Arabidopsis thaliana: one gene and its partners. The protein of the gene in region 3 interacts with the protein of the main gene of each other region in a pairwise test. Each region holds a gene or a part of one and is shown on either strand. Other genes may lie near its edges. The genes, in order: NCBP, AT1G72730 and eIFiso4G1.

Region 1 (4,718 bases), about 17 Mb from region 3:
TGATACAATCATCGACTTTGGGCCTATCCTCTCAGCCATGTGTTTCTGTAGGAAGAGTTGTCGCGGAGAGAAGCATCGTGTGGCTTGTATTCCATGACATATGCATGAGGCAACTTCAAATGCCGCTTGATTGAGTCTCTCAAACCCATCACTGCCTGTTTAAGGAAAACATTGCACTGTGTAAGTACCAATCAAAAGGAGAGGGAGAGAGACAGTTCTTCTTGTGAACAGTTTTCTCACCTGATGGTCAGAAGCATTGCGATTCCATACACTAATGATGTCCTCGTTGAAACGGACACTCAGTACTGCCCCACATATGTTATCAGCATCATCAAGCTGGTCGCCTACCAACGCAAGAAGCTGAAGAAAACAAATAAACGGAAGAGTATTTAACATGATTCTCAGACCCTAAGTATGTAAAATGGATTATAAATAACATTGACAAAAGGGTTTCTTTTGAATAAAGTAGAAAGGTGTCAATACTCCAATAGTAGTGCCCACAAGAAAATAAAACTCACCAGATCCTCCCAGAAGCGAGCAGATACAACTTTTGAGAAACGTATGATCCACTTTCCTCCATTGCAGTTGGCACCATCCTAAAGGTGATGAATTTAGCTAGTTTAGTTGGTTTATTGAAGAAGATACAACTCTTGAGAAACTTTTGTTGTATAAAAGGTTCCCTCTATATCGATGATCCAGATAAAAACACAATACGAAAAATCAACACAGGGGAATACGTACCTCCCACAATGGACGAATCCCATCCTTAAAGAAATGAAGATCTGTTGGACTAGGCAAGAGAGAAGAACGAGCAAGGTGACAGTAGCAGGCCCAAAATCCTTCAACCTAGTTTATAAAAGCCATAACTCAGAAACGAACAAGATAGTATCGCAAACAGCTTCAACAATGAACTTCCAGTAGTATATTTAGACTTACCGTGCTGAATTCTACCATCTTCTTGATGTTATCTTCATAAGACTGGTTCCGAACCCCTGGTGTGCGACGAGTGTACCATATCGAAAACTTGTACTGCATCATTACCAAAAATCCTAGAGTCACTGAGCCAGTACTTACTCTTAACAATGAAATCAGTTCCTCTAAATCAATCTGCCTTGTTCTAGCTACAATCAATACCACCAATACGAAAATCCTATAACATTTGAGCTCACATACATCTAAACAAATTCGCAAAACCTAATTTGAAAACAAAAACTCCAACAAACAAAGATTTAGAATCCGAATCTTCCACTACTCTAGCTATAAACCGTCATATACAAAGTTCAGAAATCTTTGACGAACGGGAATCAAATTTTCAGCTAAGATCAGATTCAAATTGCAAATGAATCGATACTAAGGATAAAGGACAAACCCGTAAAGGATGGTCTCCATCCTTGAGCTCACGAGAGCGGCGTTCCTCGGAAACAGAGTCGGTAACATAGTGTGACTTGATGCTGTCCATGTTTCCCGAGTCCCTGATCTCATCGTCTCTCCTATCCAAAACCTCCATTTTTTTCTCGATTAGAGCTTCACGCGTTCGTGCTTTCAAAAGCCCTAAAATTCCAATCAGGAAGAAGAAAGAGGAGGAGAGAAGAAAAGAACTGTATTACTTTTCCACTCGGTCAAATACATAAAGGTCAAATTCTGGAGAAAAAAAATAGCATATGGGCCTTATTGGGTCTACTAAATGGGCCTTAGTGATTAGTTAGTTTTAATATCTCAATGATTTTCATTCTTTTTTACAGTAAACAAAATAAGAAACAGAAAATTCAAAAGTGGACAAAATGTATTAAGTATAGTTGTTGGTTATTACATAAACTAATCCAACCGGAACAAAAGAGATATGTCTTAAACACATACACATGCACCTATCACGGCAAGATTAGTGGTGTAGTGGAGAAAATTAAAAAAAAAAGGAATGTGTGACGAATGCGATTTGTCAAAAAAGAAAATTAAAAAAAAGAATCGATTTTTGGCGTTCTCCATCTGTAATGTAATGTTTCTGCAAAAACAAGTGACAATAAAAACTTTTTCATGGATCTGAGATTTTCTCCAAATCTATATTTGTGATTGTTTCGTGTAGTTTTTCTCTTAAAGTTGTGTTCTTTAAGCTCTCTCGTGCTCAATCTTACGTTTCCCTTTGGTTTGATTTCGTGTTTTTGTTATTCGATTTCACCTTTAACTTTTATCTAATCTCTTGTTTTTGATTTTGTAAATTGTAAAAAGTTTCTGGTGATTCTCTTAGCGAATTTGGGAAACTTTATCTGTATTTTTCTGTTTCGCCGTAGATTTAGGATCCTTAATTAATGAATTTGTGGGTTTCAATATTCCTCGTCTCTGCAATAGCTGGATCATGCTTACCTTCTGGGTTTGCTTACGTTGACGTTTGCAATCACGAATTCGAGGTGTTCCGATCCGTGATCGAGCAAAAATGTCCTCGTTCTTTGTATCCAAGCCCTCCTATCGAGGTACGTCATCATTGTTATAGCAAAACGAATATTTTTATCTTCGATTGGATTAGGCATGCGTTTGGTGTGCCTTTAAAGTGGAAGAATTTGCTTAAATATCATCTCTTGAAAATTCAGATGATAACTCTTCCATAATGTGATTTGTAAGGATCGATTCGAGCCCTCTTTTGCTTATTTGGCATGATATCACTTTAGAGTGTTGTGGTCGTGACAACAAGTCTCTTTTTTTCAGCTTTTGGTTGTGGTTTTCACTATGCAAAGCTTAATGAGAACGGTATAGGCTTGTAGCTTAACTTCACTGATGTTTTACCTTTGCTCCAATGTTTCTTGAGGTCTCAGAGGTTTTTTGAACGTGGTAGTAGTTTACCTGCAGTTAGAATTTTGAGGAATGTTCAATGGATATAGAGTCCCTTACTGTAAAAAGAAAGCTGGTGGTAATATGTTTGTTTCCAGTCAATATATTAGTTTATGATGAAATAATCTACTTAAATGGTTGGATTGTTTTGGTTGGAAAAGTGTATAACTAATGATGTATTTGTCACGATCATGCTTGTTTCTCCGATATGTGGGATCTCTCTTTTCTACTTAAGTTCTGCAATGAATTCCTTTTATTTGTGTCAACAGTGGTAAGCTACCAACAGAATCTCATCATGTCACCTGCAATGTATTAGCTTCAATTTCTAATGTTGAAATGCAGCAAAGATGTTATTGCAAAGAAATTAAATATGTGTGGGTGCTTCTATATAGGGTGCCTGTTTTTGTAACTCAAGTATCTTAATTTGTGTTCTTGTTAATGTAGGTAGATGGAGACTTGCTAGACAAACTCATGGATGCAAACCATGGAAATGCCTATATATCCATACTATTTTATACCTCACGGTGCCCGTTTTCACGTGCAGTACGCCCAAAGTTTGATGTTCTGAGTTCAATGTTTCCTCACATAACGCACCTGATTGTTGAGCAATCTCAGGCTTTACCATCGTAAGAACTTACTTAGAATACTTAGATTATTCTATTTACATCTTATCTGATATAGTGAGGCCATGGATCAATTGAACCATTCACAACAAATCCTGGGTGTTGATATCCCCCTTGCAGAAATAAAATGACTTGAATTACTTGTCAGATTGTTTAGATTTGCCAGTAATCAATCCGTCTTTTACACTGATCAGTAAAGTTTTTGGCTTAATGAGTTAGTTTTACAAAGACAGGACAAATAATTCAATATGACAGAAATGATGCTATGTGTGTTCATTGTCTCTTATTCTTGCACGCTTTGCTAGAGGCTACTTTTTAGTTTATTTGGTGAGCATCAAATGTAGATTAGTTAGGTTATTATGCTGTATAACCCTTTTAGCCTTATGAAATTGTTTCATGAGTAGCTTATCCTCTAAAATACTAAATGTTTTCATCATTTCTTTCCCATTTTTGGTCCATGTTAATTGATATCATGAATTTTTTTGTTCATATTGCAGTGTGTTTTCTAGGTATGGTATCCATAGCTTGCCTTCAATCCTGATGGTGAATCAAACAATGAAGATGCGATACCATGGTCCAAAGGATCTTGCATCCCTGATTCAGTTTTACAAGGAAACAACAGGTGAGAGTATGCTTCATGAAAAGCCAGACTGTGTCTCTGTTTGTACTTTCTGGTTTTGTTTTCTACTGTATCTGAATATATTAGCTCACAACTTATTAAAATCCTTTGAAGAAAATCAGTTAAACTTTTTTATATCTGTGTCTTTCCAGGTCTTAAACCTGTCCAGTATATGGATGAAGGTGAACCAACAAGCTTGGACACTGATGGAAACCTGATCACATGGCTACACAACGGGTCATCTATCAGAGAAATAGCAGAAAGAGAGCCATATATGGTACTTGCACTAATGTTTCTGTCTTTGAAACTGGCAATTTTGATCTTCCCCATCATGGGATCACGGTTGAAAACGTTATGGGCATTGTATGTTCCGCATCTGAGCTTGGGAATACTTGGTGAGACTAGCCAACTGTTTGGCCGTGCCCTACACATGATCGATGTGAGGAGACTATGGATAAAACTGAGACTCACCAAAACAAGGAACTTCCAAGAAAGAGCAAAGAACGCACTTGCATCAGTCTCACTAGGAAAATCTTCATCACAATCAGCCTAAAAGGGTGATTTAGAAATCCTTCACTGTCAATGAGCTTAGTTTAGATTACTTTACTTTACTGTCTGTGAGAGATCCTTTGACTGACATGTTTCTATACCTTTGG
Region 2 (4,718 bases), on a different chromosome or scaffold from region 3:
ATTCTGGTATGCATTATAAGTTGATGTACTGTAAGATCTCATCATCACTGGTGGCTGCTGGTTTGTTGGTTCTGATTCTGATTTTTCTCCATGACTGAAGCAATGGTACTTGTTGGTGATGCTGCTACTTCTGGTCTCTTCTCTGCATGACTTAGATCTGAACATCTTCACTTGCAAACAAACCTCAAAAAAAGATTGCTCTGCTTTTTTAGGAAGAAAAAGGAGATAGTTGCTTTTGGGTTTTATCTCCAACCTCTTTCTCTTCTGCTTTTTGTCACTTGCGAGTTTTTGACATATTTATAGAATGAGACATCACCTCTATATCTTGTTCAATATTTAGTGCAGTAATCACAACCTCAATACTGTATCTATTTAGTTACTCGAAGTTTTTTTTGTTTGTATATTGTTTTAGATGAGATTTGTTTGTTACATTTAAAAAAAAAACATTACTAGCGATTAGTTATCACTGTACTTAGTACAGTTTTGCATATTTATTTTTCCTAAGAAAATTTTGTAAGATCTCATGTCCTTTGGATTTACACATGGCCGCTTCTCACTTCATGAATTCGAGGGAAATTTTTGGGGCTCGTCCCCAACCTTATGTAGTATATATTTATTGTAAATTCAAGAGTAGAAAACTAGAAAATCAACAAAAGTTCATTAATGAAACTCAAGTAGAGAAAAGTCTTTAGTCTCATAGAGTATCCTTCCTTGTAAGCCACGTTCACAAAAAGATAAATAATGCCGAAATTCTTGATTGCCAAAAAAGCAAAATCATGTAATGAGTTATGTTCGCTTTTAGCCAAGAACTATAAATCTAAGTAGTAGCCTGAAAACAAAAATCAAAGCATAGAGAAGCTGCCAAAAAAAGGGGTAAACACAGCACTTTCTCAGTAAAAAACAGAAAAAAGAAAGGCTTCAGAGAAGATCAGCAACATTGCTTGGCAACTCCTCAACGACCACATTGTAAAACCTCTGAATATCAGCCATCATTCTCTCATCCTCCGATGTCATGAAATTGATTGCTACTCCCTTTCTCCCAAACCTTCCACTTCTTCCAATACGATGAAGGTAATTCTCCGGTTGGGTTGGGAGGTCAAAGTTTATGACCAGAGAGACTTGCTGAACATCGATACCACGAGCAAGGAGGTCAGTGGTTATGAGGACACGGGAAGACCCAGAGCGGAATTCGCGCATGATGATGTCTCTTGTGTTCTGGTCCATGTCTCCGTGTGTAGCTGAAACAGTGTGGTCACGGCTTCTCATTTTGTCGGTTAGCCAATCAACCTTACGCCTTGTGTTCACAAAGATGACGCTTTGAGTGATGGCCAGTGTCTCGTAGAGATCGCATAGTGTCTCGAGTTTCCACTCTTCCTTGTCTACATTGACATAAAACTGCTTGATACCTTCAAGAGTCAGCTCGTCTCGCTTGACCAGAATCCTGACTGGTTTGTTCATGAACTTCCTTGTGATCTCAAGGGCTTCGGGAGGCATTGTAGCAGAGAAAACACCAACCTGAACCTTGGAAGGAAGAAGCTGGAAGATGTCGTATATCTGACAGAGAAATCAAATTATAAGAACAAATGACTTGATTTTATCAGAGAGAAAAAGAAAATGTGAATGGGAGATTAAACAAGATTAAACCTGATCCTTGAAACCACGAGAGAGCATTTCATCAGCTTCATCAAGAACAAACATTTTGATTGCATCAGCACGGAGGGATTGTCTGCGTAACAAGTCAAAGACACGACCAGGGGTTCCAACAACAACATGAACACCAGACTGAAGAACACGTTGATCCTCACGAACACTTGTTCCACCAACACAAGCCTGAGCCTTGACGCCAAGGTAGTCACCAAGTGCCCTCATAACCTTTTCAATTTGCTGGGCAAGTTCTCGGGTAGGTGCCAAAACAAGAGCTTGGCATTGAACCAAACTAATATCGAGCTGCTGTAAAACACCAGAGCAAAAGGTAGCGGTCTTTCCAGTTCCAGATTGAGCTTGCTGGATCACATCAAGACCCTTGCAGAATGGAATAATTCCTCTTTGCTGAATAGCAGAAGGCTTCTCGAAACCTAATGATAAATAACAAAACCAATATGAGGTTGTTTAAGAGTAACAGTACTAAGCTTTGAAACAAACAAAAGAAAATACAAAACTAGACAGAAACAATGAAGGTATGTATAGAATGTGTTCTCAAAGGAAATACTTCACTTACCGTAAGCATAAATACCCCTGAGAAGATCTGGTTGCAATTCCATTGCATCAAAGCTGTCGCAAACTTCGTCATAGTTAGTGTAGAATGTTTCCTCTCCTTCCTCGCCGAGACTAGAAAGTATTACACAAGTCAGTTCTTGGTTGTTATAAAGGGATTCAGATATTAAGATACTAAAATTTAACTCACATGGCATTCATCTTAGTATCAAACTGACGAGGATCATATTGAGTTCCATCAGATGCCATTCCTGCCATGACTGGACAAGCATAACAAAAATATGAAATCGACATTAGAAAAAAAAAACAGATTACAATTTATAATCGAACTCGTTGTCTCTGAGATCACATAACAAACACGTAAAAGGTGATAAAAACATAGAAGCACCAAGAGAGATAGAAAGAGCAGAAGCAAATCAAGCATTCATCTTCGTAAAGTCAACTGCATAATCCTAAGGATTCAATTAATGTAACCAAAACATAACCAAGTCGCAGTAATAGAACATCTAAATCATCCTTGTACAAAAACCGATCCTTTACGAATCAGCATTGTATTAGGATGAAGCAAACATGAATCAAACAATATCAAAACCTATAACTTCTATAAAAGCAAGCACAATGGGGATCCAAAATACAAATCATACAAAAAGAAGAGAGATTCAAACAAACCTTTGCTGTTATCAAATTGAAGAGCGATTGAGAGAGAAAGATTGAAAAGATAGAGACAAAGACCAAACTCGTAGGATCTGCGCCGTGGGGTTGAAAGAAGAAGAAAAGACTGCTCCTTTATACTTCCACCCTTGTAACTACTTACGGTCTTTTTTTTTTTTTAGGTTTTACTTTGCTTATTCCAAGTAGGAAAAGGAAAACAACTTAAATATCTTCTTTCCCGATTTGCCCTCTAAACTTTTAATATATTTATTACTCCAATTAATGGTTTTGGACCCAAAAAAAAATTAACATTAAAATTCGATGTAAAGAAATTTATATAAAATTATACGAAAGTAACTTCGCTAATGTAAAAATATGTATGTAGGTTCAGGAATTTAAAACCAAAAAAGCCACGCCTAGTAAATTAATTTAGTTTTCTTTTTATATATTATTATCAACACCATTACGGAGATAACTGAAGAGAGCTACAAGGAATGTCCCATAGATTCAATTCAAGCCAAGAGCATAGTCTCCCCACAGGAACCTGCAAAACAGACCATATAATACCAAAGTTAGAGACGTTTTGTTTTGTTTTGCTTAGCCAATAATGAGAAAAGAGTCTGGCTTTTTCTTACATAGTTCATGCATCTCAGTAGCTATGACCAGGAGTTTTCTATTTTCTTCTGCAATCTTTGTCATCTTCTCAAACTCTTCTGCTGCTAGTTTGGCAACGTCTATTTTATTCTCCGCCTCTACGACTTTACAGGCTGCGGTTATTGCAGCTTCCTCGATCATCTGTTGTGAATCAGCAGAGGTCTGATTGTTTGCTTGGCGCAGCTTCGTATGTGTCTCCTTTGGTTTTGGGACACCTATTTTTGTTCCTGATGGATCGGGTATCTTATAGAAGTTCTGTATCTGTTATATGTTGGATTGAACAACACAGAAAGAAAAACCAAAGACATAGCATGAGAAGGCTTTAAAGAACATTGTCACTGCTTCAGTTATTAATTCAGTGGATTCTAAACCATGCTTCATTGGCTCAGACAGATATGGACCAGATAGTTTTAAACACCAATTGATGAAGATGGTTTTTTTTGGGAATTTTAAAAGAAAATGGGAACTCATTAAAAAACACAAGAAAAGTGAGATTCAAGACTTACAGATTTGAAGGTGCTAACCTTTTCAAGTTTGCTCTGAGCTGCAAGCCTCCTCAGTCTTGTACTAAGGATTCTTCTAAAATTTGGCGGTACTTCATGCCTGGGCTGCTCTTTCCACAGTAAACCATTGTTAGCACTCAGTCGTAAGGTCCAATACAAAAGCTATTATATAGCCAAATGTGATAAAAGAATAACAGAAAGTGACCAAATTTAAGTAAAATCAAGAGTTCTAACATTTTTTCAGATATGCATAGTGGACAGCTTCACGACAAGTATTATCATACTATAAAACGTCAAAGTACAAATAATTAGTAGTATAAGACTTTACATTTAGAACTCGGTGTTCTCATTTGAGAAGGACGAATCATCTAAGATTGCTGATAGTAGTAATAAGCCATTTGCACAAGTCAATGTAAGATAGAGTTTACACGTGCCAATAACATAACTATCCCTCCCACATATATAGATGATGTCTCTAATAATCTGTTAAGTAGTTTACAAAGCGAGCACATATAATTTTCTGATCTGTGCATAATAAATAGCAGAGAGAAATTTGTCAAACCTCAATGAAATGATAAATGGAACTGACATCAGATCCATTACCATCGGCTAAAGCAGAGAGAGCTTCAAATATCACCCCGTCATACCTGAAAATAGGGACATATCAGAAGTTTAGCAATACATGATGAAGATTAT
Region 3 (4,718 bases):
TAAAATAAAGTTATTCGGCCCATAAGCCCAATATGACTTTTCGCATTGTATTTTAATATTCAATCAATCAAAAATAAAAGCCTAAAACAAAACAAACCCTCTCTGTCTTTTAGTGGGTTTTGTACGACGCCTAATCGATGTTAGTATTATATCTGTAGCCAAACAAGCCACCAAAGTGGTATTTTTCTTCTTCCTTCCTTACCTTGTAGGGCTCTGAGCTCGAGTTATAAAAAAGCCAACTTTGATTTCTTTGCCAGTATTTCATCCTTAATCCATTCTTGTGGTCACTTTTTCGTCCTTAACCCATCTAGGTAAGTCGATTTCATTGTTTGTTATTTGAGTCAGTAATTTTTGAAAATCTTTGCTTTTTTTTCTTTTCTTTTGAATATCAAAAGAAGAAAAGATTTGGGGGATAACTAGATCATCTCTTTAGTTAAATTGACTCTTTGAGGTGTGTCAATTGTCACTGATAGTCTGATTAATCTTTTATTGGCATCTTAGAACAGATTTTGATTCTAAAGTCTTGTGAATCGGCAGCGGAAGAAGAGTGAATTGTTCATCCTTATCTTGCCATGGTAAACATTCTACTTCTTTTGTTCACTTTGATGGGTTTGATTGTTCTTAGTATATTCAATCCTTTGCTTATTTGACGGGAAGTAGAGATGTTTTTGGAATGAGAACATCTTTTCCCTTCTTAATTCCAGCTTCCTGATCACATTTATTACTGTTCTTCTTGGAGTAATAAAAGTTGAGATACTTTTGTCTTGCAATAATTTTGCTTTAATCAATCGAACAAGTTAGATTTTGGCCATATTGGTTGTAGTATTGATTAGTCTTGTGTAATATTGTTTGCAGGCTATGTATATTCGTGTGAAGCGCATGAAAACTACTTACTTTATCCAATGTGATCCAACAGAGACTGTTTTGGATGTTAAGCAAAAACTGTTTGCTCTCATTGAGCAACCAGTTAACAATCAGCGTCTGGTCTTAATGTCTACCGAAGAAGTATTAGAGGATTCGAAATCCTTAGCAGATCAGAAGGTATCACACGTTTGACTATCTAATATATTTATCTTTTGAGTCATTGCTCAAGTTTAAAAGAAGAACTTGGTCACATAGCCACTGCCTCCGTTTGCGTGTATTTGAAAGTTATAAGCTTGTCACCATCTTCTTTTTTGGTTGTTCAGGTTGAGAATGATGCAGTTGTGGCTTTGACTTTGAAGAAAGGTTATACCTTAGATCCTCTTATTCTGAAATTTTCAATTCCTTGTTGAAATGTCGTAATGGATCATGCATCTTGGTTAATTACTTATCACACTTCATCTTTCTATATGTTATTTGGTATATGAACCCTTCAAACTCCATTGACTTCAATTGAGCCTGTTATTGTGAATCTTAGTTATTTTGTTATCACTGGATAATCTTTTGGTATGTTTAAGAGTCTTGCCTAACTTTTGTGACCGTGATATAGCTGAATGTGATTCCTAATCTTATTATTCTTTTAGCCTTGTTTCGATTACACAACTGTTGAGGATGCTGTATTGCATTCTGAATCTATACAGCTATGAACGGCATAATGATTGCATTGCATCTCTTTTTTCCATGTGCAGATGATAACGAGTTTGAGGATGTCAACATTGCACAGCCCACCGACTTCTCACTTTCATGAAGAGTTGCTTACTGTATCAAGGAAACTTCAGGAGAAGGTATTGATTCAAAACACAAGGAGGAGTCTATAAACGCCAGAAGTTGTTTCTTTTGCGTCTCTGCTTGTGTTAACGCCTCTTTAGTTTGTTACAGACAATTGTTGTAAGTAAAGATATTGAGATGTGGAAGTTTGATTGCAACTTGCCAGATTAGTAGTTTTTACAGTCTCTTAATATGTTTACAATGAGCTAGAGGTGCAGCTAACACGAGCCGAGGAAGCTCCATTATTACCATTTGACATTGTTCATTGACGGAAAACCCAATGAGGGTGACAAAATAAAGAGACAAAAAAACAAAATGAAAGGACATAACTGTAATCTTAACGGAAAAAAACGTTAAGGCTATAAGTGTGTCTGGTTCGGGAAAAAGAGAGGAAAAAAACCCTAATAAAGAGAAGGGATTGTGTCTCCTTCTCGACTTCTTCTTCTTCTTCTCATTTCTCAATCTCAACTTTTCTCTTCTCTTCTCTTCTTCGCTAACGGCAGGAGAGAGAGAGACCCAGAAATCCGATCCCTCCTCTCCTTGGATTATCGGAGTCAGCGATTCATCGTCGCTGATAAAGCTTCTACCTTTCTCTTCGATTTTTGTTGTGAGATTCGATTCGATCTTAAGGCGGATTAGATCGAGGTATGCAGCAAGGCGATCAAACGGTTCTGAGCTTGAGACCTGGTGGCGGTCGAGGAAACAGACTATTTGGTTCCTCTTCTTCTTCTTCGTCTCTCTCTTTTGGCTCTCTTTCATCTTCGGATCTACCTCTCCTTCGTCCTCATGGTGGTGCTCCTGCTTCCTCTTTTCCCTTCAAGGTACCCTCATTTCTGGGTCCCCTCTCTAAATTTGGATCTAACTCCCTCTTCTTCCTCTGATTTAGAATTTGTTTTATCTCTCTTGTCTTAGCTTGAGCTAAAAATTTATCCTTTTTTACGGGTTTGTCGCAATCAGCAGCCTTTTTGTTTGGAATTATAATCTTTGGTATATTGCTGATTTGATTCTCTCAAATGTCTGAATTGGCTAATATCTTTCTGATTTGCGAGTTTTAATGCTTTGTGTTTGTAATAACTACTGAGCTCATGTTGGATTTTGATAGGTGTCTGCAACATACATAATTGAACTTCATAGGTTTATATGTCAATACGAGTAATGCAAGCAGTTTGTTTGTCCTGATTCTTAGTGGCGCACGCAAGTATGTGTTTCTGCTGTAAATATGGACGTATAATGATATGTAGGCTTTTAGGTGGGCATTTTGTTAGCTGCTATTTGCTCATAAAGGACCTACTGACATTTCTTCTAGTTTTTCTTTAGTTCATCACTCATTTCGGCCTTATGGTTAAAGAATTATTCCTCTCTTTCTTTTGTACTGAGTACTCGTGGTTCCTTGTCTCCTTTATACGTTATTTCTTATATGATTTTGTGTATTGGGTGTTAGTTAATGAAGATTTATCCTGGGTTGTGCTTTTGTTTCAGGGTGGAGACTCGAGGTTCGATGGCCGTGAACGTGTGAAGTACACCCGTGAGCAGCTCCTGGAGCTTAAAGAGGTGATTATCCCAGTTAAATAATATAGGATTAAAGCCGGTTTAGTTTCTGCTGTTCGTATTTGTTCTTCCTTAGTTGAGGTCATTGACGTCTGTGCATATATACAGACCACTCAACTCTCTGATGAAATTCTGAGAGTCCAACGGGAAACTGCAGCTGAACTGTTTGGTGAGGAAGGGACTTGGGCACGTGGAGAAAGTGTCGTAAGCAATTTGGTATAGTTTTGTTGAAACATAAATTTTGCATTTTGGTATAGTTTCATGAAGTTTCACTTTTAACACATATCTTTTATTTTAATGGTTCAGGTTCCCGTTCAATCCGCAAGTCGCTTCTCTGAGCCAGACTCTCGTGATTGGCGTAGCCGTTCTACTCAACCTCCACCCTCTGGGGAGGAAAGGTCGTGGGATAATCTTCGTGAAGCTAAAGATTCCAGGTATGTTGAAGCAAGTCAATATAATCGTCAAGACCAACCTAATTCCCAGTTTTCAAGGGCAAACATATCATCCAACCAAGGGGTAATTGATCAATAGATGAATGTTTTTCCCTCTTCTTAGCCCTTTACATTCTGGCATGATTTCTTATTTTTCTTACTTATTTGTATATCGTGTGGAACCAGGGTGGACCAGCTCCTGTCCTCGTCAAAGCCGAAGTTCCTTGGTCAGCTAGAAGAGGAAACCTTTCTGAAAATGATCGTGTTCTGAAGACTGTGAAAGGGTAATGCCGTTGTGACAGTTATTAGTTGTCTAGACTTTTGTATAACTTTCCTTTACTGCCAACATGAAATCTTTAAAATAGACTATGCACACTTACAAAGATATACTTTTCTTGTCCAGGATACTGAACAAGCTAACCCCTGAAAAGTATGACCTTCTCAAGGGCCAACTTATTGAATCTGGCATCACATCTGCTGATATCCTGAAGGTGTATGCTATGTCTCAAGCATAGATGAAGTCTTGTTTGAATCATCTAGGCTGTTTGTGTGGCTAACCCGTGTTCTTTTCTTTCATTTGTAGGGTGTGATTACCCTTATTTTTGACAAAGCTGTCCTTGAGCCGACCTTTTGCCCTATGTATGCAAAATTGTGCTCTGATATCAACGACCAGCTGCCCACCTTCCCACCTGCAGAGCCTGGGGATAAGGAGATTACATTTAAGAGGGTTCTACTGAATATCTGTCAAGAGGCATTTGAGGGCGCTTCTCAGTTGAGGGAGGAGCTTAGACAGATGAGTGCTCCAGATCAGGAGGCTGAGCGGAATGACAAAGAAAAATTGTTGAAGCTCAAGACTCTAGGAAATATTCGTTTGATTGGTGAGCTTTTGAAGCAGAAGATGGTCCCAGAAAAGATTGTTCATCACATTGTTCAGGTTAACACCTATAAGCTTACACATTTTCTTAGACTTCTTTTATTTTGGTATCTAGCATTAACCTTTCTTAATTTGTTCTGTGCACAGGAGCTTCTGGGGGCCGATGAGAAAGTTTG

The links.
Region 1: the proteins of eIFiso4G1 (region 3) and NCBP interact in a two-hybrid assay, tested with the Arabidopsis thaliana proteins (one large-scale study listed by BioGRID).
Region 2: the proteins of eIFiso4G1 (region 3) and AT1G72730 interact in a two-hybrid assay, tested with the Arabidopsis thaliana proteins (one large-scale study listed by BioGRID).

Annotation. Positions count from the first base shown.
Region 1 is NC_003076.8:5,989,082-5,993,799, forward strand, and holds the start of NCBP (Putative cap-binding protein), read right to left. Parts: upstream 1,601-4,718; 5' UTR 1,508-1,600; coding exon 1,370-1,507; intron 1,030-1,369; coding exon 937-1,029; intron 847-936; coding exon 742-846; intron 597-741; coding exon 519-596; intron 361-518; coding exon 241-360; intron 156-240; coding exon 24-155; 3' UTR 1-23. Other genes in the region: APRL7 (APR-like 7), read left to right, coding at 2,304-2,465, 3,265-3,446, 3,941-4,065, 4,215-4,615. UniProt on the Arabidopsis thaliana protein: Recognizes and binds the 7-methylguanosine-containing mRNA cap during an early step in the initiation of protein synthesis and facilitates ribosome binding by inducing the unwinding of the mRNAs secondary structures.
Region 2 is NC_003070.9:27,377,122-27,381,839, forward strand, and holds AT1G72730 (DEA(D/H)-box RNA helicase family protein), read right to left. Parts: upstream 3,062-4,718; 5' UTR 2,884-3,061; intron 2,475-2,883; 5' UTR 2,473-2,474; coding exon 2,405-2,472; intron 2,329-2,404; coding exon 2,219-2,328; intron 2,076-2,218; coding exon 1,645-2,075; intron 1,555-1,644; coding exon 919-1,554; 3' UTR 638-918; downstream 1-637. Other genes in the region: AT1G72720 (hypothetical protein (DUF3511)), read right to left, coding at 1-165; AT1G72740 (Homeodomain-like/winged-helix DNA-binding family protein), read right to left, coding at 3,378-3,409, 3,501-3,780, 4,026-4,127, 4,585-4,669. UniProt on the Arabidopsis thaliana protein: ATP-dependent RNA helicase which is a subunit of the eIF4F complex involved in cap recognition and is required for mRNA binding to ribosome.
Region 3 is NC_003076.8:23,437,419-23,442,136, forward strand, and holds the start of eIFiso4G1 (MIF4G domain-containing protein / MA3 domain-containing protein), read left to right. Parts: upstream 1-2,081; 5' UTR 2,082-2,336; coding exon 2,337-2,510; intron 2,511-2,882; exon of another isoform or gene 2,883-2,988; intron 2,989-3,168; coding exon 3,169-3,240; intron 3,241-3,345; coding exon 3,346-3,453; intron 3,454-3,543; coding exon 3,544-3,753; intron 3,754-3,854; coding exon 3,855-3,952; intron 3,953-4,071; coding exon 4,072-4,159; intron 4,160-4,251; coding exon 4,252-4,602; intron 4,603-4,689; coding exon 4,690-4,718. Other genes in the region: AT5G57860 (Ubiquitin-like superfamily protein), read left to right, coding at 573-575, 856-1,041, 1,188-1,227, 1,611-1,669.